Oryzias latipes: one gene and its partners. The protein of the gene in region 2 interacts with the protein of the main gene of each other region in a pairwise test. Links are inferred from orthologs where the notes say so. Each region holds a gene or a part of one and is shown on either strand. Other genes may lie near its edges.

The links.
Region 1: the proteins of tfip11 (region 2) and zmat2 interact in binary tests that used the Homo sapiens proteins (3 or more experiments, as listed by UniProt). The two-hybrid records come from large-scale screens. The link is inferred for Oryzias latipes from reciprocal best matches to the Homo sapiens genes TFIP11 and ZMAT2.
Region 3: the proteins of tfip11 (region 2) and lmo4 interact in binary tests that used the Homo sapiens proteins (3 or more experiments, as listed by UniProt). The two-hybrid records come from large-scale screens. The link is inferred for Oryzias latipes from reciprocal best matches to the Homo sapiens genes TFIP11 and LMO4.

What each region holds. Positions count from the first base shown.
Region 1 is NC_019872.2:3,285,714-3,293,666, forward strand, and holds zmat2 (zinc finger matrin-type protein 2), read right to left. Parts: upstream 5,145-7,953; 5' UTR 5,074-5,144; coding exon 5,056-5,073; intron 3,668-5,055; coding exon 3,568-3,667; intron 3,483-3,567; coding exon 3,359-3,482; intron 3,234-3,358; coding exon 3,160-3,233; intron 1,486-3,159; coding exon 1,340-1,485; intron 1,168-1,339; coding exon 1,024-1,167; 3' UTR 578-1,023; downstream 1-577. UniProt on the Homo sapiens protein: Involved in pre-mRNA splicing as a component of the spliceosome.
Region 2 is NC_019867.2:13,546,292-13,554,276, forward strand, and holds the start of tfip11 (tuftelin-interacting protein 11), read left to right. Parts: upstream 1-3,735; 5' UTR 3,736-3,864; intron 3,865-4,263; 5' UTR 4,264-4,265; coding exon 4,266-4,471; intron 4,472-4,550; coding exon 4,551-4,716; intron 4,717-4,797; coding exon 4,798-4,954; intron 4,955-5,063; coding exon 5,064-5,191; intron 5,192-5,321; coding exon 5,322-5,483; intron 5,484-5,716; coding exon 5,717-5,908; intron 5,909-6,019; coding exon 6,020-6,199; intron 6,200-6,342; coding exon 6,343-6,477; intron 6,478-6,604; coding exon 6,605-6,708; intron 6,709-6,785; coding exon 6,786-6,954; intron 6,955-7,079; coding exon 7,080-7,323; intron 7,324-7,462; coding exon 7,463-7,605; intron 7,606-7,718; coding exon 7,719-7,884; intron 7,885-7,985. Other genes in the region: clustered mitochondria protein homolog, read left to right, coding at 681-1,200; srrd (SRR1-like protein), read right to left, coding at 2,077-2,317, 2,395-2,546, 2,651-2,749, 2,835-3,013, 3,101-3,141, 3,252-3,394. UniProt on the Homo sapiens protein: Involved in pre-mRNA splicing, specifically in spliceosome disassembly during late-stage splicing events. Intron turnover seems to proceed through reactions in two lariat-intron associated complexes termed Intron Large (IL) and Intron Small (IS).
Region 3 is NC_019862.2:4,584,196-4,592,101, forward strand, and holds the start of lmo4 (LIM domain transcription factor LMO4), read left to right. Parts: upstream 1-2,762; 5' UTR 2,763-3,207; intron 3,208-4,175; 5' UTR 4,176-4,210; intron 4,211-4,298; 5' UTR 4,299-4,303; coding exon 4,304-4,539; intron 4,540-7,906. UniProt on the Homo sapiens protein: Transcription cofactor. Plays a role in establishing motor neuron identity, in concert with MNX1, acting, at least in part, to disrupt LDB1-LHX3 complexes thereby negatively modulating interneuron genes in motor neurons.

The DNA of each region.
Region 1 (7,953 bases), on a different chromosome or scaffold from region 2:
GATGCTGTCGGATGTGGCGGGGAGAAACCAGTAGTTTCCCAAGACAAAACTTCCATCAGAATCAGATAAAAAGCAGGTTGTGTTTTTTCCTCTGTGGCCAGGTACCAAGCGCTCCACAGACGGGTACCGGTCATTGATCTAAACTACCTTCAAATAGACGGAGGTTTGTCACATAACCTGCTTTTTGGAGCAGAACTGGCTGCACATGCTTAAAAAAGGAGTCTCTTTGGTTTGAATTCTTATGAACTAATGTCTAAATAGTCTGAGTCTTTTTTCAAAAGCCGCACCGTGACGAGGACCGATAAGACGTAGCGGCGTTGTTGGTCATTAATGAGTGAAACACAGGAAATGCAGCAGACTTCCTCTTCTTCTTCCTGTTGATCAAACGCAGTTTCAGCCACATTAGAAAGAAGAAGTGAACGCCGCCACAGACATCTTTCTTCACATGCCAACCTGCCACCGATTCATCGTGTTCAGGTGGAAAGCTTGGCTGAACCCAGGAGAAGTGTTTTATTGTGATTCCTAAATTCATTTCAGATTACTTTCCCCTTTTTGCCATAACAAAATGACAAAGGAACACAGAAGAGCACCTTTTATCGGTTTGAAGCCTCAGCTTCTTTGTGGAACATTTTTACATCAATTTCAGGAAAACATCAGGAATAAAAAAAAAAGGTGTATTTATTAAAAATTAAACCAACATTTCCTCCAGTTCTTTCTTTTTCTAAGATCAGGATCTAATTCAGAGAAAAAACTTGAATGAAGAAACAAAAATGTATAGTTTTCTGTGTGCACCTGAACACACCACAGTCGTGCTAAAGGAAACAGTTTCTCCTTCATTTGTCTTCCTGCATTCAGATCATTCATTCATCTGTTAATATTTGTGATGGTGTTTACCAGCTCACCAGAAGAGGTTTGAGAGCAATCTCAAATAAAAAAAGTCTGTGAGGGAGGAGCCCGCATCAGCAGCCCCGCCCTAGAGAGGGGGGCATGGCTGAAAACGGTTTCCTGTCCCAGTTTGGGGCTTCAGTGGCTCTTCTTGGACGAGCCAAACCCCGAGAAGCCCATCACTGCTGCCATCTCATCATCGTCCTCCAGGTCCAAGTCCTCCTCAGCACGCCGCTTCCTCTCTTTCTGCTTCTCTTTCCTGTAGGCCTTCGCCTTCTCCTCCTGAGGAGACCAGGAACCAGTTTTTATTCATGACTTCACCAGATTATAAAACACTGAAGACACTGAAAGAAAAGAATGAAAGTAGGAGCGCTGGAAAAAGCAGAAGAATCAACAGAGCAGCCTTTTCCAAATTTCACAGGACTCTGGGAGCTGACCAGCAGGGGGCGCTCACCTCTTCCCGCAGCTCCTTCATGCGCTCCTCAAAGTCGTACTCCTTCTGCTTCTCCTCCATCTTCTTCCTGTTCACCTCAAAGCGTTTCTTCACCTGATCCAGAGACGAGCGCTCCACCCGCATGGACATGCCCAGGTTCCTCTGATCTGAACACACACACACATTTATCAACACACATTCATGGACATACAGTCAGGTCCATAAACAACAGGACAGCGACACAATTCCAACATGTTTGACTCTATATGCCACCAAAATGGATTTGAAATGAAACTAACAAGATGTGCTTTAACTGCAGACTGTCAGCTTTAATTTGTGGGTATTTCCATCCAGATCAGGTGAACTGTGTAGGAATTACAACAGTTTGCATCTGTGCCTCCCACTTGTTAAGGAACCAAAAGCAATGGGCCAATCGGCTTCTCAGCTGTTCCAGGGACAGGTGTGTGTTATTCCCTCACTATCCCAACTACAAAGAGCAGATAAAAGGTCCAGAGCTTTTGAAGTGTGCTGTATGCATTTGCAATCTGTTGCCGTCAACTCTCAAGATGAGATCCAAAGAGTTGTTATTATCAGTGAAGAAGCAGTCATTAGGCTGAAAAAACAAAAATAACCATCAGAGAGATAGTAAAAATATGAGGCGTGGCCACAACGACTGTTTGGAACATTCTTAAAAAGAAGGAACGCACTGGGGAGCTCAGCATGCCAAACAGCCCGGAAGACCACAGAAAACATGTGTGGTGGATGACCGAAGAATTGTGTTCCTGGTGAAGAGAACTCCCTTCACAACAGTCGGCCAGATCAAGAACACTCTCCAGGAGGTAAGGTGTGCATGTGTGTAGAAGTCGACAATCAAGAGAAGACTTCACCAGAGTGAGTTCAGAGGGTTTACCACAAGATGTAAACCATTAGTGAGCCTCAAAAACAGGAGGGCCAGATTAGAGTTTGCCAAACGACATCTAAAACAGTCTTCACAGCTCTGGAAAAACGTCCTATGGACAGATGAGACTAAGATCAACCTCTACCAGAGTATGGAGAAGGAAAGGAACTGCTCATGATCCTAAGCATACCACCTCATCAGTGAAGCATGGTGGTGGTATTGTCATGGCGTGGGCATGTATGCCTGCTAATGGAACTGTTCTCTTCTATCTATTGATGATGTGAACGCTGACAAAAGCAGTAGGATGAATTCTGAAGGCTTTTGGGCTCATGATCAGCCAAATGCTTCAGTGGACGGCGCTTCACAGTGCAGATGGACCATGACCCAAAGCAAACTGCAACCGCAACTAAAGGCCTTCTTAAGGGAAAGAAGTGGAATGTTATGCAATGTTTCACTTGCTGAAGACAAAACTGAAGGTAAAATGCCCCAACAACAAGCAGGAACTGAAGACCGATGCATTGGAGGCCTGGCAGAGCATCACCAGGGATGAAACCCAGCGTCTGGAGATGTCTGTGAGTTCCAGACTTCATGCTGGAATTGACTGCAAAGGATTTGCAACCAAGTATTAAAAAGTAAATGTCTGATTTATGATTATTGTTCTGACCATTACTTTTGGTTCCTTAACAAGTGGGAGGCACAGATGCAAACTGTTGTAATTCCTACACAGTTCACCTGATCTGGATGGAAATACCCACAAATTAAAGCTGACAGTCTGCAGTTAAAGCACATCTTGTTCGTTTTATTTCAAATCCATTTTGGTGGCATATAGAGTCAAACATGTTGGAATTGTGTCGCTGTCCCATTATTTATGGACCTGACTGTATAAAATGATCCACGTTACATCTGCGCTCTTGGCCCCTCCCTAAAGCACAGGTGTACTTACGTTTCTTGCCGTTGATGTGATCCAGAAAGTTGATGGAGTCTTTGACCACACAGTCACAAACATTGCAGTAATATCTGAAAAAAAAAATATGTCGGAACCAGAACCCAGACCTGTCCGTTTCTGCTCCACAACTTTTTCTTATTGGTTCAAAGAGTTTCAGTTTTCCATTTTTCCAAACCCAAAGCCGTCAGGAACTCACCCGCCCATCTCCGCCTGAGGGGTGGTCTTGGTGATGACAATAGTTTTCCCCAGTTTGGACTCCAGATCCACTTTGTAGTCTCTGTGCCGCAGGAGCTCCCGCTTGACGGGAGGGACAGGTTTTCCTGAAAGAGCCAACAGGTCATGCGTCAGGGGTGATAAGCGATTGACCCCCAAGGGTCCCCAAAGAACGGAGAGCGCTGCCCTCACCATCCCTGAGCTCCCGCTCGCGCTCCTCGTTCAGCCGCTTCTGAGCGAGATTCTCGTACTCGTCCTTGTCCCATTTCCGCCGGAAGTCGTTCTTGCTGGACTGGAAGACACGAGAAGATGACTCAGAGCGCCTCGATTATCTTCACATCTCAACAAACATTCAGCTGATGAAGACGAGGAGCTTTTACTCCTCCTGACAAAAGAGCAACAGCTTCTCAACTCAACTTCATTGATAAAACTCTAAAACAGAACCACAGAGACACAACAACAGAGAAGGAACAAAAGCAGGAAAGCCTCATGCTTCGTCAGAAGAATGTTTAAATGCAGACGGTGAAGATGCCTGTTGGACTGTCAGAGCTGACGCCTTGTGCACCTTCCAAGCTCAAACAGGAGGAGCTGGCTCTTCCCAGAGGTTCCTCCTGGATCTCTGTCCCTCCAGGGAAAGATATGAGCTTAACCGAGATTCCAAAAGCTCAGAGAGGTATGGATGAACGCACAAATCATGGGGAACGTGTGACCCATGATTTATGCGTGAGCCATGCTGCTGCTCGTATTTAATGGTGTTTGGGAAAAGGGCTGTTCCTACTCCGTGACCCGAGATAAGGGGAGGGCTCAGGCCGAACATCCAGCTGACGGGAAGCATCCATGTTGGATAAACAGATGAGTCCAAAGAGATCCTTCATAATGAACATTAGATTTTTCAGAAATCTCCGTTCAACAGCCTGATCCTGGCTGCAGCTGCAGCCTGAAACTGATCAGCTCTCCAAATGCATGGTGCCGTCAGGCTCCAGGGGGATACGCCTGCTGGTGGAGCTGTGCTTACAGGACAGGAAACCCTAAGTCACTCTAGACCAGTGTTTTTCAACCTTTTTTGAGCCACGGCACACTTTAACCCTGAAAAAGATCCCGCGGCACACCAGCATCCAAAAAAAAAAAAAAAAAGCAGAAATTCATGGTCTGTATTGATCGACAGCTCTTCCCTTTCATTCATATTATCAAAGTAAACATTTTCAACAGGGGTGGGTTTATAAATTTTATAATATAGCAACAGAAACATTGTTTCATATTTGCAAAAACCAAAAAGGACATTATCCTTATTATTACAGTTTCATTTATTATCATCACAGTCGGCTTTACGAAATAAACTTCAAGAGCTTTTATTTTGCCACACCGGAATTCGTTACACCTTTGAATTAGTCCTTTAAAGATAAAAACTAACGGCGGTTGAGTCAAAACGTTTTTGGTACTAATTTTTTTTTTTTTTAAAAAGGGCCGTAAAATTCTGCAAATAAAGTACCCAAGCGTCAGAGCGAGTTAGCCGCTGCTAGTCCGAGGCCGCGCTTCTAACGGCAGCAGCTGATGTCTGTAACGGTTACAGTCAAAACGCCTCCACGGTACCAAATATAAAGTGAAGAATTTTAATCTTGTTTATTGAATTAAACTGTATTACAACAAACAGGGGCAGAGAAATTCTGCTTGGAAACTCACCCCACTGCCGGACGCCATCTTGTTTACCTACGGAAAATACGTCACCGGATGTTGCAGCTCGTCATTGCTAGTTTCCTGTCTAAATTTAGTTCTATCGGTAGAGGAGACATCACGTGATTCCTCAAGGGGGGAGAGCATCGCCATCTTGGTGAGGTCAAATTACTGCTGTAGTGCATGCATGTGAACACATTTCTTGCAAAATACCAGTTCATTTTTCGGGTTTCAACTGCCAAAATCAGAGAAATGAGTCCACGAAGGAGGAAGGCATAACATTTCACAGGTAAGTATTATATATTTTTTTCTTTTAATGCTGCAGGGGCATCATTAATCATACACATGTTTTCATGCATGATGCTGCAGGGCGATTATCAACATGTAGGCATGATGTACGTATAATTTGCTGTCGATATAAATGTAAACTTTATTGTGTTAAACCTGTATACATTATACTAGGCTATTATAGTAATAGAGATTTATACATTTCTGACTCAGTGACTGAAATTTTATTGCAGGTTTCCAATGGATTCAGACTTAAGGAAAAAGTGGGCCTTAGCAATAAAAAGAGCTAACCCAGATGGATCACTGTGGTACCAACTAGTAATACAGTCTGGCTATGTTCAAAACAATTTGAGGAAACAGATTTTGATGAGACTGGCCAGACTGTTAGCTTGAAACCCGACACTAAACCAACTGTGTCACACAAATTTATCACTAACATGAATCAGGAGGTAAATCTATTTCTTTTCTTTGTTTTTTTAAAGGGGAAAATCTGTTGTTGACTTTTGGACTTTTTGTTGACTTATTATTGATTTATTATTATCATTTATTATTATTTACCTATTATTGATTTATTTTTATCATTCAATATTATTATTGACTTACTATTGATTTATTATTATTATTATTTATTGATTCATTATTATTATTATTATTATTATTATTATTATTATTATTATTATTATTATTATTATTATTATTATTGACTTATTTATATATTGTTATTAATTATTATTATTATTGACTTATTATTTATATTTGTTATTTATTATTATTATTGACTTATTATTTATATATTGTTATTATTTATTATTATTATTGACTTATTGTTGGGCTTTTCTAAATAATTTCAATTACATGTCAAAGAGGTCTAAAACTTGGAAATGTTTAAAAATTAAAAACAATGCATTTTTCATTAAAGTTTGAACTTTTAAAGCTGACTGTTTCTCTTATTTAAAAGCATCAAATGATGTATATATATAAAAATTATATACATTTATCATGTGTTTATTTATATGTATAAATATATAGAAATTTGAATAAATATAAATTATATAAAAGCTACTTAGATGCTACCAAAGGCTAAAGAAATCATTGTCATGTAGGCGTCGTTGACCTCACCAAGATGGCGTTGCGTTCCGCCACCGTCGGCCAGGCTTCCCAAGCGGGCGTGTCTCCTCTAGCGATATAACTCATTGAGTTCAGACAATTCACTGGCTATGTCCGAATTCCCACCCTAATCCCTAACTACTAATAAAACTATAAGTGTGGGACTATCCAATGTCCCGGATTTTAAAAGCAATTAGGACACCTTGCTGACTTCATTATTTTAAAACTGCGAATATGACATCACTGATTTCCCAAAGTTAAAATCTAATCAATATGAGCAATGCATGAAGACTATTTATGAATCCACTGTGCTCTGATGATGAAATCATTGAGTGTTCATACAAAACAATAAAATACATTTTTGCTCTCAAAAATTGTTCAATTGCATTGTGGTCTACACACGCCAATCTAGTAGCGAGCATCAATACACACTAATCTTTCGCAAATAATTTCTAAACCACTTGATTTTGAAATTTGAACAGCTTTACAAAATGGTGAACGCACTAGGTGCACTCTGTGCGTAGTGATTCCACAACCACTCTGTGGAATTAGTACAATTTGACTTCTCAATCTGACTGCACAATCTACTTCCAAGTGTACTTTTAAAGGGCTTATATCATGCAAAAGCAACTCTGTGATCTTTTAACTAAGGGTTAATGGCCGACGAAGTGTGCATTAGCACTTTTTAACACACGCCGTGAAGCCTGAACCATCCGACGCGAAGCGCTTATCAAAATAAAGCAAGAGGATTGCTTTTATCACAAAAAGCGGACTATTTGTTACATGGTGCGGCGACTGCATCGCTTTTTACCGCACACCCAGCAGCCAATCAGAATCGGGTATTCACCCGGACGATGGTATAATTGTATTATAACGTTCATCATTCATAATGAACAACCCCAAAGGAATATTTGGATCCATTTACCCGTTTCTGGGTGTTCCTTTAAAAACCTGCTCTCTGAGCACCAGCCCCTCCAAACCCACAAAAACAAGAGAGTTCTCCCATTGTGATGTCACAAAGTGAGGAACAGCCCCTTCCAGGAAGAGTCTGTGCTGCCAGCACCTCCCCCAGCCAGACTAGCACAAACTCCACTCTCTCCGTGGAGCTAGCGGTGATCGGCTAAATGCGTTTATTTTGTATGCACAATTTGCACATCCATCTTTGCAAATATTTGGATGTTTGTTTTCGTGGGTGAAACACAGACATGCTGCTGAGGCCTGGAATCGTTTTTTTTTTTTTTTTTGGTGATCCATCTCTGCCAGAGGATCTGGAGCCAATTTTTCCAATACTTTATAAATTAATTTCAAGTTAGTGTAACAAGGGTTACACTTGGTAGAAGACATGTGTGGACAGGTTTCTCGTTTTCCGCTCAACAGGATACTGCGACCCCATGTGTTTGAGCAGGGAACTGCATGTAAGCGACTTTTCTTCATTTTTTGTTTGATATGTACAGATCCTGCTGCAGTCATCAATAAAAAGGGCAGCGTTCAGCAGATGTTTGGGTCCAGACT
Region 2 (7,985 bases):
TTTGGATTATTCCGCTTTTAGCCAAAATCATAAAACCTGCTTCGTTTTCTAGGACATAGTTTCTGCAGTGCAGCAGAAGTTCATTACCAATTTGCCTGTTGCCGCAGGGCATCCCACCCCCATTTCCCGTCATCCATCTGTTTTACACTCTCTCCCGCTGGTGTACATCCTCTCACAACCACAAGCTAACATTAGTAGTGTAACAAAAATGGCGAGGAATATCTGAGCCATCCAGTTGTACAGTTTTGAGCCGAATTCCAGCTCAGAGGAGGAAAACAGAGACGTTAATGGATCTAAGAAATACTCAAAAATGCAATTTTAAGCTTATTTTACTTTACATGTGTCCTTCATTATCAGAAAAATGCCACATAAAAAAGAATGATGCCAAAAAAACATGTTAAAAACACAATTTTCATCGGAAGTGAGCGTGTAAGAATAATTGAAAAAAGTCTTGATGGCATTTAGTAAATAGTTATGATTTCAATTTCCTTTTTATTAATAAAATATTTTAGTCAAATGTTATAGGCATTTGTTCCATAGTTATATAGATGACAACCTGAGAACTTTTAATGTGCGAGTATGTTTACAAAAACACATTACCTTAATCATATCTATGATTTTTTTTTCCCACAGTTGTTCTATCTTGCATAAATATGACAAATTACTTTTTGTTTTTCCAGTGACAGGTTCAATGAATTCAAGCAGAAGCACCTGGAACGGAAGGTAGCAGCAGCCAAAGAACTGGGAATCAAACTGATTACCGGCTCTGCCATTACAGACCTCATTAACGCAAGAGAAGGAATTTCAAATAGGGAAACAGGAAACTGGAAGGAGGTTCAGGATGGGAGACACAAAGCCGAGGAAAACGGGGGAGAAATCCAGGAGCAGCAGCCTGCGGAAGACCAATCTAAGACTGCAGCTACCGTATCAGCTCATAGCTGTGAGGAAAAGGCCGCTGAGCAGAGCAAAGATGAGGGAGAAAGTAGCACAGAGGCTGTAGCTGTTGATGCCAAGAAAGAGAAAAATGATGAGGAACATGGTGCAATGAATGGAGCTGTGGACAGCCCTGTCAGCCCATCCAGCCTTAAGAGTAAACTGACATGGGCAGATATCGTTGGTTCAAAAGCAGTCAATGGAACAGGAAGTAAAACGGTAAACGGAGCAGACAGTGTCGCTGTCAGTGGAGCGGCTAAAGAGTGAAGGCATAAAGAATACTGGGTTTGGGAGAGTTTAAAAGTCACTGCTGTAAGGCGAACCGAAGATTTAAGCTGTAATGTGATTTAAAGCAGGACGAGTGTTACTTTATTCATAAAAAACTTTCTGTCTGTAAATGCACCATAGTTATTACAGGAGGTGATCAGCTGTAATGTGACTAAACGGCTGATGTTTTTGGATACATTCTGACTTTAACACTAGCCCAGCAATTTTTTAAAACATTTTTTTTATTCAACAATGCTTGTGCTCCATACAGAAAAACTGAAATTCTTGTTTTTTCTTTAAATCTTTTGTCTGAAAACAACGTTGTTCTTTTGTTGTTGCATTTGTTCAAACCTTCTTTGTGATTTGATGTCTCAACTTTCTTGATCCTGTCGAGTGTTGTGCTGTGAAAAAGTATTCCCAAGTTTTAATAATTTGTTCAAAATAAATTCTTGGTGAGTTTTTAATCGGTTCTAATTAAATTACTTACAGACATATGTTGATAGTGTATGGGGTGCTAATAATGCAAGTCTTGTGCAACAAAGCTGGTATTTGAGGTTACATTTTTCATTTTCCCTAAGTTTGAAGTACACTTCCATTTTCAAAACTATTTGAATAAAAATGTGTTTTTGGAACCAAGCTTTGTACTTGAGATGCTTCATTAAATAAATGAATTTAAAAGTTGCTAGAAGTGTTGCGAAAGGGGATAAAGTTCTAAAAAAATGGAAAGTACTATAACGCCATATACATGAAGAAAACCATCTTTAACTAATTGGCTTGATTTGTAATGTTCCACTTTCGTTTTGTGAAAAATCTGAACATAATAGTTTCCTACATGTTTGAAAATTTATATCAAAATTTTATTTCAATGAAGTCCAGTCAGCTCTGAGTTTCCTTCAGGATTATCTCCAAATCCTGGCGGTCTCTGTATTCAGGTTCAGGTGACTCAGCCCAGTTAGTCTGTGGCACTTTGTGTAAGATGTGGGGAGGAAAAGCAATGACTGCCGTATCACTGAAGACATCTATCATGTGAGAAGGACAAGGCAGCATTTTTTCCTCACAGAGGTCCACAGCTTTACTGATGTAGCTGTATTCCTGTTTGAACACTCTTTCCACCGTTCTGCAACAGACAGAGGACATTATTTCATCTCTGTTTGCTAAAAACGATGCGCTCCATCATCAGTGTTTTCTACGAACCTTTCCCTCATACCATTGAAGCTGTTTCCAATGATTACAAGCTGGTATAATCCCCGTAAGCTCCAGTTTTTCCACAGTAGGTTGTTGTACAGAGCCTTCCCACAGTGCATGAGATAAAAAAGAGTGGGCTTGGTCACCAGACGCTTCCCCTCCTAAATAAAACAGCGGATACTTTAGTCTGTTTAGATCTCAGTTACGGTGATAACATCAGCAGTTTGTTCTCTAGAAGTGCAAAAAGAAAAACAATTGACATGACCTCGTTTTCTGTGAGTACAGTCATTCCCAGCTCCCTCAAGACATCCTGCTCTCCAGAGGAGAATATGGGATCATAAACCAAGCAATCCCTTAAGGAAACCTTTAGGAGAAAAAAAACTAAATGAGCAACTCAAAACAAACATAACACATGTTTGTTAGAACATAGTCTAATGCTCTCTTCTGACCTGTAATACTTCCAGCAGCAGAAGCAGCATGGCAAGCTGATACCGGGCTGCAGTGCAAGAAGAAAAGGAGCCAAGGCCATAACACACACACTCCAGCTGATCACCTGTGTTCTTCAGATGCTCCTCAGTGACGTCCTTCTCTGCAGATGCTGATGCTGTGGATGCCATCAGCAGCTCATCTGAGGACGAGGAACATAAGAGTTACAATTCAATTACACACTAAATAAAAAAAACATGTCTAAAAAATTTGGTTATGTTTTACTTACCTTTCCATTTGTGCCAAAACTCTTCGCATCTCAACTCAGTCCTATGAGACAGAGAGTAAAGAATGAGATATCAGAATTAGTTTTCCCCTCGATAAGGCACAATGAACTATGTTTATGAGTGGTTTTCCGTTTTTTTTATTTTATTTCTTACACAGTGGTCCTGATCCGTCTGACAACTTTCTCGACATCAAGCTGGTCTTCTTGGACGCTGGTGGAACTTAAAGGCACATGAGATTTAAACTTCCTTGTTTGCCCTTTTCGACGCCGAGCGACCTGCCACTCACTTTCAGACATTTTTTTTATCTCATTCCCATCATTCAACGATCTATAATAAAATGTTAGGGGTGAAAAAAAAACAGTGATAATAATTAAAAAACAAACACCCTAATCACCTCCGCCACAAAATCAGCAGCGCGTAGGACGGTTTTAAGTGTAACACATTTGTCTTCCGGTGTAACGCCAAAATAAAAGCTTTTATCACATAATTTATTAACCTAAATGTGTGGTGTTGCTGTTTTAACTTAGAGAAATTTATATAAAAACCAACACAAATCTTTAGTAAATGCAAACAAATAAAAATAAGTAAAATCTCAAAGTTTTAAGGTCACAACATTTATTCGTCAGTACTGACGGACAGACTTTACCCGGAAGTATTTCCACGTTCGTGCGTTGAACGAAAAGCTACACAGATAACCTCTTCTTGCTACAGACAGCCAAGAATGAGTTTTAATTAATCTCTAAGTGTATAAACTATTTCTTGTCAAGTAAGCTTTGTTTGTATTAAGTGCCTTTCTACTTTCCAAGTTCGAAATGTTTCTGCAGTCGTAATGGGATTTAATGTCCCAACTATCGTTAGCTAGATTTCGCTAAAAAATCTCATCATTTGCATTATTAATATCTGAGTTCTGTTAGTTAATACCTTTTTGCTTGAAACTTCTTAATGTATTTTTACGCTTTCAATCATACAAATGTGCAATACAGTTGATATTTATGTTGATAATTGTTTGTGACCGAAACAGTTTTGTGGCTAGCTTCGTGCTTAGCTAGCGTTAGCAATCATTGCTGACTGTGGTTTCATGCTGTTGTACGATTTTTTAAGCAACTTGAATGTTTTTCAATTGTATGGCTTTTATGATTTTTTTTTGTATTGGGTCTCTATCTAGAAATGTCGATGTCCCATCTTTACGGGCGGAGGGAAGAAGAGGAAGAAGGTGTGGAGATCGAAAGCTTCGAGGTGACAGACTGGGATCTGGCCAATGAGTTTAACCCAGAACGCCGCAGGTTTAGGCAGACCAAGGAGCAGGCCACTTATGGGATCTGGGCTGACAAAGATTCAGATGAAGATGAGAGACCCAGCTTTGGTGGCAAGAGGTAATTCACAGGTTTGATGCTCTGATGTCTAAATGTGAAAATTTTTGCAGAGGATGTTAACAGTGTACATTTTCTTTAGGTCGAAAGATTACAGCACCCCAGTGAATTTTGTTAGTGCCGGTCTACGTAAAACTGCAGCCGAGGAGAAACAGCAAGACAAAGAAGAAGGTTCTGATGATTCGGAAGAGGATGCCCCTGCAGTTCCCCCTCCTACTCGTGGAATTGCACCTAGAAAACTTCAGATGGTAAAGTTTCGCTTAAGAACATATTTTATCTAAAAAAGCTTTCTTTTTAAACTGACGTCTATAATTTCTTTGTTTTGTCAGAGTAATTTTCGTGGGAATCAGTCCCAGAGGTTTGCTGGTGGAATACAATCTGGACAGGGTATTGGAACCTGGGAGAAGCACACAAAAGGAATTGGACAGAAGCTTCTGCAGAAAATGGGTTACCAGCCTGGAAAGGGGCTTGGAAAAAATGCTCAAGGTAGGCAGCGTAAAGGAGGAAAAGTACTGTACACGATTGTGCTTTTGCATGCATTTCAGAGGGAAAATAATAGAGATTTTATTGCCATGCCTCTGTTTTGTTTATGTAGGTATTGTAAACCCTATTGAGGCAAAGGTCCGTAAAGGTAAAGGAGCTGTAGGTGCATATGGCAATGAGAGAACCCAGCAGAGTCTGCAGGACTTCCCTGTGGTTGACTCTGAAGAAGAGGAGGAAAAGGTGAGATTTTGCCACGAGCAGTTCTTTACTCCATATAATCTTGTTTTCACAGTGATTGTGTATCTGAAGAATTGAGGGCTAACTGTGAAATTATCTTCTTGTTTTTCTCCTGTAATGTGTGTTGTTGTAGGAGTTTCAAAAAGAATTGGGTCAGTGGCGAAAGGATCCTGCGGGCTCCGCAGTCAAGAAGAAACCAAAATACTCATACAGAACTGCAGATGAGCTGAGGGCTAAAGGCAAAATGGTTTCTCGGAACATGGCAGCATCTGCAGGAGAGTTGGCGCAGGTTAAGGTGCGTTAAAATCCTGCGTTATGTCCTTTTAATTTCGGGTCAGAACAATGAAAAAAACCACAAACTTTAATATTTTAAAGAGCTTCACAAGCATCTACTTGTTTTTTTTTTTTTTTTTACATTTCCTCCTTTCAGCATAAAACTGAAATAAATTGAAAGATTTTTATGGCCATGGAAGTAAAATGATTCAAGTTTTCTTTTTATTAATTGTTTTTATCTCTCTTCAAATTTAGGTTATAGATATGACTGTAAGAGAGCCAAAGGTTTACTACAGTTACAGTCAGATAGCCAACAAACACAGTGTTCCCGATGAAACCCCACCAGCCATGTCCACACGGGATCAGAAGGGTTCCGGCTTCGCTCTCCCTGAGCTTGAGCATAATCTTCAGCTGCTGATCGACCTCACAGAACAGGACATTTTACAGGTCAGAGGAAAATCTGAAATTCTTTCAAATCATTTTCAACTATTAACCCGTTTCAAGTGGGCTTCCAGATTTAATTTTTTTCTTCTGCTCTCTTTATTTATTCTTTTGTAGTCGGCCAGACGTCTACAGCATGAAAAGGACGTGGTCGTTTCTCTGAGTCATGAGTCCCGTGCGTTGCAGAGCAGACTAGAAGCAGAGCAAGATGCCATCCAGAAAATGGAGGCTGTTTTGGCACTGGTGGAGCGTTTTCCCTCTGGAGAGACGCCACCAGGGGAGGGACCGACTCTTCAGGTACGTGGCACATGAAAATACCCAAACTAGATGTACTTATCTTGCAGTTTATTTGTTCCTAATGGTTTTTAATCTCCATTCTTCTAACATTTAATCATTTTGAACATACTTATTTGTTTATTTTCTCACCTCTCTGTGCCCAGGAGTGTGCCCAGATCTTTGAGACTTTACAAACAGATTATTATGAAGAGTATAAAATGATGGGATTGGCAGACCTGGCTGTGGCAGTTGTTCATCCTTTACTTAAGGAGAAACTTCACTCATGGGAGCCTCTAAAGGTTTTTTTTTTTTAATTATTCTAATTAAATTATTACGCTTTTATTTCTGTGGGGGGGAAAACAAACACCTTATTTTCAACATGTTGCTCAATTAAGATACTAGAGTTAAGACTGTTTTTTGTTGTAGGACAGTGCATACTGTCTGGAAGACATTGGTCAGTGGAGAGCAATCCTTGAATCCAGGGATCTTCGTTCCAGTGGCCCAGACTCCAACATGGATCCTTACCACAGGTCTGTTTAAAATACTCACTTTTACATGTAAATGTTCACATTTTGATTTTTAACTGCATGTGTCTCTCTTTGCTTAGACTTTTATGGGAAGTGTGGATCCCTGTGATGCGTATGTGTGTGTCCGGGTGGCAGCCCCGTATGGTTGGACCGATGGTGGACTGTGTGACGTTGTGGGCTCCTCTTCTGCCTCAGTGGATCCTGGATCACCTACTGGAACAGCTGATCTTACCCCGCCTGCAGCGCGAGGCAAGGCACACAAATTATAACAATCCTACATGCTTTTTTTTTTTTTTTTTTGTTCTACTTTTTCTTGCATCTGAAGTGTGTGTATCACCTGTCAAAATCTCCCTACATTTTCTCTTGTTTATTAGGTAGATAACTGGAATCCTTTAACTGACACGGTGCCCATCCACTCCTGGATTCACCCTTGGCTTCCTCTACTCCAGTCGCGCCTGGAGCCTCTCTACCCACCTATCAGGAGCAAACTTGCCAACGCTCTGCAGCGCTGGCATCCGAGTGATGCCTCAGCGCGCCTCATTCTTCAGCCATGGAAGAACGTTTTTACAGCAGGTGCATGGGAGGCCTTCATGGTGAAAAACATCATCCCTAAACTAGGTTGGTTTTCTTTAGTCACTAGCTTTAGGCGTTGCAAAACTGACTGGATCACTGACTTCTATACCTTTTCATTTCCTGTCACAGATTTATTTATACATATATGTATTTCACATGTGAAAATCTCTCTTTCCTGCCAAAGCTTTATGTCTGGAAGAGCTGGTCATCAACCCGCACCAGCAGCAGATGGAGCCGTTTCACTGGGTGATGGACTGGGAGGGAATGTTGTCTCCCTCCAGTCTTGTGTCCCTTTTTGACAAGAACTTTTTCCCAAAATGGTTACAGGTATGTGAATGTCATAACAAATAGTAAAATACGTAAAGCGTATTTCTTAAATATATAGGTTGAATAAATCCTCTGAAATTGCTGTATTTTTTATTTTTATTTTTGGCTTTTAGGTTTTGTGTTCATGGCTGAGCAATAGTCCTAACTACGAGGAAATCACAAAGTGGTATCTCGGCTGGAAAGGCTTGTTTAGTGACATTCTGTTGACTCAACCTCTCATTAAAGAGAAATTTAATGAGGCTTTGGACATCATGAACCGTGCAGTGTCATCAGGAATGGGTTTGTGTACACACAGTCTACTTCATAAATATGAAAACCAAAGATCTACCTTAATTCAAACTATAAAAGCAAAGTTTGAGAGATCTTTGCTTCACTTATGT
Region 3 (7,906 bases), on a different chromosome or scaffold from region 2:
ACCTATATAGCTAGGTAATGCATAAAAGCAAATATGAGATGCCTTATATACATAATTCCAACAAGTTTAGATCCAGATTCCAGCTCAGACGAGGAAAACAAAGACAAGCCTGGATCTATTCGTCTGCAAGTGAAGACATCAGAATGGAGCAGAGCAGGGAGCTTGTAGCATCCAGCGTATTTTCTGCATCACAAATAAGCTCTGTATGAAGCGGAAATTTTTCTCTGCTTCTGATTCACAAGGATTTGATTGAATCAAGGCAGATTTGTCTTCATACGTTTTCTTATGAAAACGCTGACAGATTTGTAAATGAACCCTGATATCCGGTAGTAATCTTGTCCAGACTAAAAAAAAAAATATTCTATATATGGAACTGAAAGTTAAGTCAGAAAAATCACTAAAGACTGAAGAATTTTTCATTGAAAACGAAAGATGATTAAAGCTACAAAAAAGGAATTTAGGAGCTGTAGCACAAACTTTGATGTCAGCTGATATTCAGTGAAAGATACTGACTACCACTTATCAGAGTGATGATGATTTTAGCCTTGGTATTTTTGTGTTTTTTTCCATTCAGCAAAATTAATTAAACTTAACTTGACTTTTTCCTTGGGATGTCTAAATAAACAATTACAATTTGGCAATGGTAATTTCAGAGGACTTCTTTTCATTTAAAGGGCAGGCTAATAACTTTGACCCGAGCGCCAAAAAAATAAATAAATAAAAAAGTTTGATTTTATGGATTTATTGTGGACTGAAAGATATCCACACCTGATTCCTCTTTTAAAATCCAGAATCAATGCAAAATGTTTCATCTTTTCTAAATATTTTTCAAGGTCAGAACAGCAATTACAGGACATGGAGGCTGTTTGGAAAAGAAAAGAAAAAATCCATGCACCAACCATCTTGATCCGGTCATGGCCACACAAACACATTCAAGCTCAAAGCTTGGAGTGATAGGAGACTTTGTGTGTTTTAAAGCAGCCTCTTTAGGAGATGATCTGTCGGCCATTCTCCGTTCAATCTGGGAGCAGCTGCGGTTAATCTGAACGGTATCATCAATTCACGTGATTTGTGTAATATGGTATCAACCATTTTTCTGGTGCTGCAGATGGCTGAACTAACCTGGGTGTTGTTGGCTTGAGTGTGGCCTGCAGTGTGGACAAAACAGCCTCTGAGGCTCAGTGTCAAGTCAACAGAGCAAATCTGTAGTCAGGGAATGAGCTGAGTGTGGCTCCGCTTACTCCCACAGGACCAGCGGCTTGATTATGAAAGACCGTGGTCTTCTTTTCACGTCAGTTGAGATTACCCTGTGGGGAGTTTTAACACTCAGATCCACATCTGACGCTCTCTTGTTCCTGTTTAAACATTGAAACTGTGTTGCGCCATATTGTTGTTCGCCTCTTTTCTTCTTTTTTCATAATGCAGCTGCTCGGAAACTTCAGGAATCTCGGCGGAGTGTGGAGATGATCAATTTCTGAGGGAACCCCCACGTCGCCCGTCTCCTCTTCCTCTCACTGACCTCTCCACCTCCTCCTACTTACTCCAACTTCCAATAATTATTTTTGCAAGAAGTAATTTCTCCTGCCCAGTTATGAAAAGCTCATTAAAAAGAGGACTGGAACAAACAAAGCTTTTCCTGTGAGGCCTCTTTTCAAATTCATTTTCTAATTTCCCTCTGTTTTAATCATTTATATCAATTAATCATTCCTTGGTGGAAAAGATATTCTTTGCAATCTTCTGTGGATGTTTTTGTTCTGGTAAGAGGCAAGCTTGATGAGAGTGTCAAGAGAATGCGGCTCAAACCAAGGTGGATCAGCGCTGGCTTTGCCAAAAGGGAAATCAGTGTGATGCAAAGCAATCTCCTCAGAGCTGCGAGAATAATTAAACAATTAAAGTCAAGAAAAAGATCATCTTTACACATCCAAAGCCAGGGGTATCATATCCAAATGGATTTTTTTCTTTTTTTTTGTCATGTAAAACTCTTAAACCTGGTTAATCTCTTTGAAGATAACTTCTCTTTTGCATTATATTTTATTTTTCTTGTTTCTAAAGTAAAAAACTAAAATAAAAATACAATAAAAAGAGCCATATTTTCATGTCAACTTGTGACACATGCAACACATTTCTCGCATGTAGTTCATGATTAATCTCTCATGCTTGCCATGATATTAATGTTAAGATAAATACATGTAAAGAAAACCCTCAGACAAATCAGATTCAGTGTTGAAATCAATGACCTGTGGACTTTAATGGGGTTTTCAAAGCAGAAAGTCTCCCTGCAATTACTGTGGGTGGCAGACGATGGCGCCACCGCGCAGCTGTTGTCCCGCCAGTTCCCAGAGGTTGGAGTCACTCTCAGTAAACTAAGTAGTTATTGAATGTCATCTAATTAAACTGTGACGTGAGGTGAATGCAGTTTACTGGATGTTGCCATGCAGCTTGGAGCTGATGCTACAGGGAGATGCAGATAATCAGAGACTTCCCATGATGCTCTAATCACAGCCAGGCAGTGATTTCGAGATTAAGAAATGACGTTCAAATTGATTCTGAATTTGACTATTTTAGATTTTGGGTATTGAAACATTAAATTCAGTTTTTAAGAAGTGTTGGGGGGGGGGGGGGGGGTCCTGTCTTTGCCAGTGTAACAACATTGTTTGTGTGCGTCTCTTGCTAAGTCTCTCTCTGCTCTGATTGGCTGGATTCGGTGTTCTTAAATGAGCTGCCAGCGGATTGGCTGAGAGGGCTTTGTCGTCACGCGGCTAAAGAGGGTTTTTTACTGGAGGTTTCTTCCTGTCAGAGACACATGTAGAACAAGCTGCCCGCGGATCCACCGTCGTATTTCCTGTGCTCCGTTATTCGCGTCATAATCTCGGTTTGTGCCGCTCTTCTCTGCTCTTTTGGGGAACTTTACTGTCTCGGAGACCTAATCATCCTGCGATGGACAGCTTTGGGTCCGTCATCGGCCACAAATCGCTTTCAGAAAAGCAGGAACCGTCCGCTGGAAATACTATCTGATAACTCCATTTGCTCCGCTGTACGAGTCGCGAGCTCGCTGCCGCGCGGGGCTGGACACCGACGGCGCACTTTTTTATTTATTTATTTTTTTAAATAAAACATTTTTTCCTTGACTTTTTGGGGACTGCTGGAGCTTACCCGTTCTCCTACGCAATCTTCAGACCCGAACTTCAGCCATTAAACTCCAACGAAGTGAGTATATGTGTGTCAAAGTCTAGACTTTGCCTCTGAAAGCGTGTTTTCTTTTGAAGATAGCTGTGATATTTGATACCCGAGACTCTTGTTTTTTCACTGAACCCATGGCCGTGTAATTATCCCGCAATAATCTTTACATTTTCCGGTTGAAAAGCAGCTTTCAGGACCTTTAGCACTCGCCTTTTCTCCCTTCCATTTCCATGTCTTAGTCTCTGTGCCCAAATTGCCTGACCGTGTAATTACTTACCCATTTAATCTAAAAAGCCTCCCCTCCTCCTCCTCCTGCCCCGCCTGTTGGAAACTTGACGATGGCTCGCCCGGTTCGTGCGTGGAGTCACTTTCAGGTCGGCTTTTTGTTTTGTTGTGTTTTTTTTTTTTTTTTCATCTGCTTTTAGATGTAATCAGCGCGGAGGTTCGCCGCGGTTCGTCCCTAAGAGCCATCGCTAATGGGCTTACTGAATGCTGCTCTGTCTGTGCGCGCGCGCGCCCCCTCCCCGCGCCTTCTCCTTCCCTAATTGGCCTACCTGCCTTTCAACAAAGATTTGGCTTTATATCCCGGCGTCGCTGCTGCCCCGGAGTGGTGGTGATGGTGGTGGAGGAGGGTGGATGGGGGTGGGGGGTCCGAGCACGTATTAACGTCTGGAAGGGAACGGCCGTTTGGCGGTGAAGTTATGGCGGGCAGGTCGGTGGAAGCCCGCGGGGCATCAGGTGTTGGTAAACAAGCAGGAGCGGCTGTGCTGCTCAGTCAGTCAGTCAGAGGCACTGCTTTCACTTTAGAGGCAGCAGAATTGTTCCTTTGGCCCCACAGTGTTATCAGTTAACAGACATTCATCAGCAGCGATGCCCCCGCGCAGGGGCCACACAGGCAGAGATCAAGGGCAGATTAATTCACTAAATGACTCATAGCAGAACATGGCTTGTTCGTGTAATGAGATCAGCTCCTTCTCTTTGCTGGGGGGTCACAGAGTCTGCAGCTGCAAAGTTAACAATCTCCACAAAGGTGGTGTAAAACTCTGCCATTATCTGCTAGGATGATGTTGCATACCTGGTATCAACACGTGATGTTTGTTTTTGTTTTGTTTTTTCAGAGACCATGGTGAATCCTGGAGGCAGCAGCCAGCCGCCGGCGGTGGGCGCCGGTTCCCTGTCCTGGAAGCGGTGTGCGGGCTGCGGGGGCAAAATCGCAGACCGCTTCCTCCTCTACACCATGGACACCTACTGGCACAGCCGCTGCCTGAAGTGCTCCTGCTGCCAGGCCCAGCTGGGCGAAATCGGCACGTCGTGCTACACGAAAAGCGGCATGATCCTCTGCAGAAACGATTACATCAGGTGAGAAGGGGGGGTTAGGGCCGTTTCTGTGGGGCTGTCCAAGGACACAAACGCACTCTGTAGGTGAGACATTTAGATAGGCCTGCATCACAAATGTATCCTCATCGCAATATCAACCTATACGCATATGGCAACAGGCAGCCTAAATTAGGGATAAATGGTTACTTTTTAAATGTTCACACATAAACAATCTTATGGCCGCTTAACAAATTAAATGGAGCCCTTTGACCAATCAGATGCAGCCCTTTTATGTCAACTGTCTGCCTCCTTTGTAGACGAGGGTCATTTGGATTATAAATGAAGTTATGTTGACTTTTATTGAAATAAAAAAGTTGCACCGAAATGAAGAAAAAAAATGCCCTTTGCTTATGTATCCCAGACACTAATATTACAAGTCTTCCTCATGGCGTGCAGGACTTTATGTAAATTCAATCAGGAAAAGAGATGTATTTCTCTTGTTGAAGTTTAAAAAAAGAACCCTATTGGGAGCAGGAAGAGTGTTCATCAGCTGCTTTGGCCTCTCCTGTCATTCAGTTCAGCTGAATGGGAATGTTTCTGCTTAAAGGTACAAAATCTCGCCCATTTGAGTTGTTTTTGGATGTGCAGCCAGCAGATCTGCACAGATGATTCCAGATCTAAAGTGCGCCCGTGCGCTCTTACTCCCACCTCATATAAAGCAGTGGGAAGTCAATGGGGTACTTCATTCATAATGGTACTATAACGTAATTAAAATTGGAGCGGGAGGAAGTGTGGATACACCTTTCCACTTGTATTGAGAGCATGCTTGGTGAAAGAGCTAAAGCGCAGATTATGGAGGCAGGAGATCTGTGCAGAGATAAAAACGCTGAAGTATGGCTGGGAGAGGGAGGCAGAGAAAACATCTGAGAGAGACTCTACACAATTAAATGCTTTAATTATAGTCCCCCCTCCATTTCCTTCAGTCCTGATGGGTTTTATCTAATGAGATCTGGTCCCTGGCTTGTTTCTGCTACCAATGACGTGTCCGAAATGAATGAGAGCCACACTGCAAACAAAACATTTAATTAACCAAATTGGCTTTTGAGAGTGCAGGAGAGAAAGACAGACAGACAAGAGGGATTATTGTGAAGGCCATTTGCGGCTGTTTTTCTCCCCCCCCATCTTAAAGGGCCAGTCTGTTTTTTAAGCCATTGAACTCTCATCTTCCGCTCAAATTTGCAGTTTAAATAATAGTGGTAGTGGATGATTTTGCTGTTTGAAGCTGGAGGTGATGTTATAGCTGCTGCTGCTGCTGCTGCTGCTGCTGCTGCTGCTGCTGCTGCTGCTGCTGCTGCTGCTGCAGGGGGGATTCTTTTCCTGGGGGCTGCTGGATTCAGAGGGAATGCTGTCCCCTTAATTGAATAAGTCTAGGTAATTAAATGGCACTTTTCCAATAGAACGTGTGAGGTAAATCTAATAGTTGGTTATTTAATATCACTTTGAAGTCTGCCCACTCAAGCAGGATGACAGCACAAGAGAATGTGAAGTATTAGTCCCCCCCCCTTCAAAAAAAGGAGGGGGGGGGGGTGGGATCTCAGAAAATTAATTAAATCTCGTGCAATTCAGAGGAAGCGTTTATCTTGATTTGTCATAACCGAATTAATTTGTGGCCTTCGATTCACTTGGGGCCGGATCTGTTACTCTGAATTAACCAAGAGTAGTTTGGCTATACAGCCCCCCCCCCTCTAAAAACACATGCACACAGAAAGATCCACCAGCCCTCCCTCATCCTGCAATTCCCCCCCCCCCCCCCGCCCCGTCCACCCGTGCCTCTAATGCAGCCTGCCATTATGCAAAGCCCCGCTCCAGTATCAATATGGCCTAGTGCTTTTAAGATGCTTTGGCTGCTGATGTAGAGAGGCATTTTTAATGGACTGTGTTGCAGAAATCATTGTTGTGGGGGTAATTTTACCCTACTCAAAGGTCTGGCTGAATGAGGTCTGCATTTAGCAGACAGCCCAGCAGCCAGTCATGCTATCTTTCAGCCGAAATGAAATTCAATAGTCATGGCCCATATAGACAACCGACAGCTGGGAATGGGTTGTTTTTGTTGCCTTTCTTCTCTGCAATTTAATCAAAGACGGATCGTCTTTGAGGAAGACGCGTCGGGATGAAGACGTCTTCCAGGAATGTTGTTAGTTTTCCATTTAAAGGCGGGCTTTAATTCTACTGACCTGACCTCACCTGACCTCTGCTTCTGCTGCTCTGCTGAGGTTCCTTCCAGTAAAGGCGGCTCTGCAAAAAACAAAAAGTTTGTTTCCACGCCTCTTTGAAGGCTGATCGGCTATTGTTCTCCGGGTCTACATGCACGTTTTTCAGCAGGTTTGTCCTGTCGACAGGCGAGAATTGGCAGGTTAGTGACAACAGTCTCCAGTTAATTAGTTTCTGAAATTGAGTTTTGATGGAGCCTTTCCAAACCACGCCAAGTCCACGTTTGCTGCCTCTGAATGAAGCCGTTGCTTGTTTCAGAGCCCGTAGAACTGAATACTTTTTATAATTCTCTAAACTGAAGCGGATGACGGCACGTTTTTTTGACGTTAATTTTGAAGCCAGACGACTTTATCTGATGCTTTCACACACACCCACCCACACACACACACACAGACACACACACCTCCTGTCCCTTTCTTTTCCATGCCTCCCTCTCCCCTTCTCAGCGCAGCATGTCAGATGCCGTGGTCTTATTTGATTGCTTAGGAAAAGTGCAGTGATAGAGCAAACACCCAGTGAGATATGATGACAAATGGGTCCAGATCCCAGTAAATTACTTTCTGCTCAAATCGAAATTTCATTCAGTTTGCTGCTCACTGAGATGAAGTAATCTAAATTGTGGACTCAGAAGGAAGATAGAAGGGAAGCTGGAGCAAGCATTTCATTATCAAGAGGCGAAGGAAGGGGGGTGGGGGGGGGGGGGGGTTAGGGACGAAAGAGATGAGCAAAAGCAAATCTAAAGTGTTGACACCATGATTGAAAAGGTTAACCCATGCACATTATATATCAAGCGGAGTAGCTACAGGGTATCTAATGGAAACACGGCACTGACGGAGCATTCACAGGAGTCCTAATGGCAAAAGCACTATGTCTCTGACTGGCTGTACAATCAAATCCTCTTAGGTCCTGATTGCTTATGTTTCAGGTTATTATTAGGCTGCAAAAGAAGAAAAAAAGAAAAAAGCTCAGCCAAAGTAATATTGTATCTCAGTGTGAGATGATTGTGAAGAACAGCTTCATCTTTTTCCTCTGTGATGATTTGTCTCCCCTGCATGTTTTCACTTGGGCTTACAGATAGAAAATGGCAAACTTGGCACTGGCAAAGGCTTTCAGTCGGCTCACAAAAGGTGGACGCCAC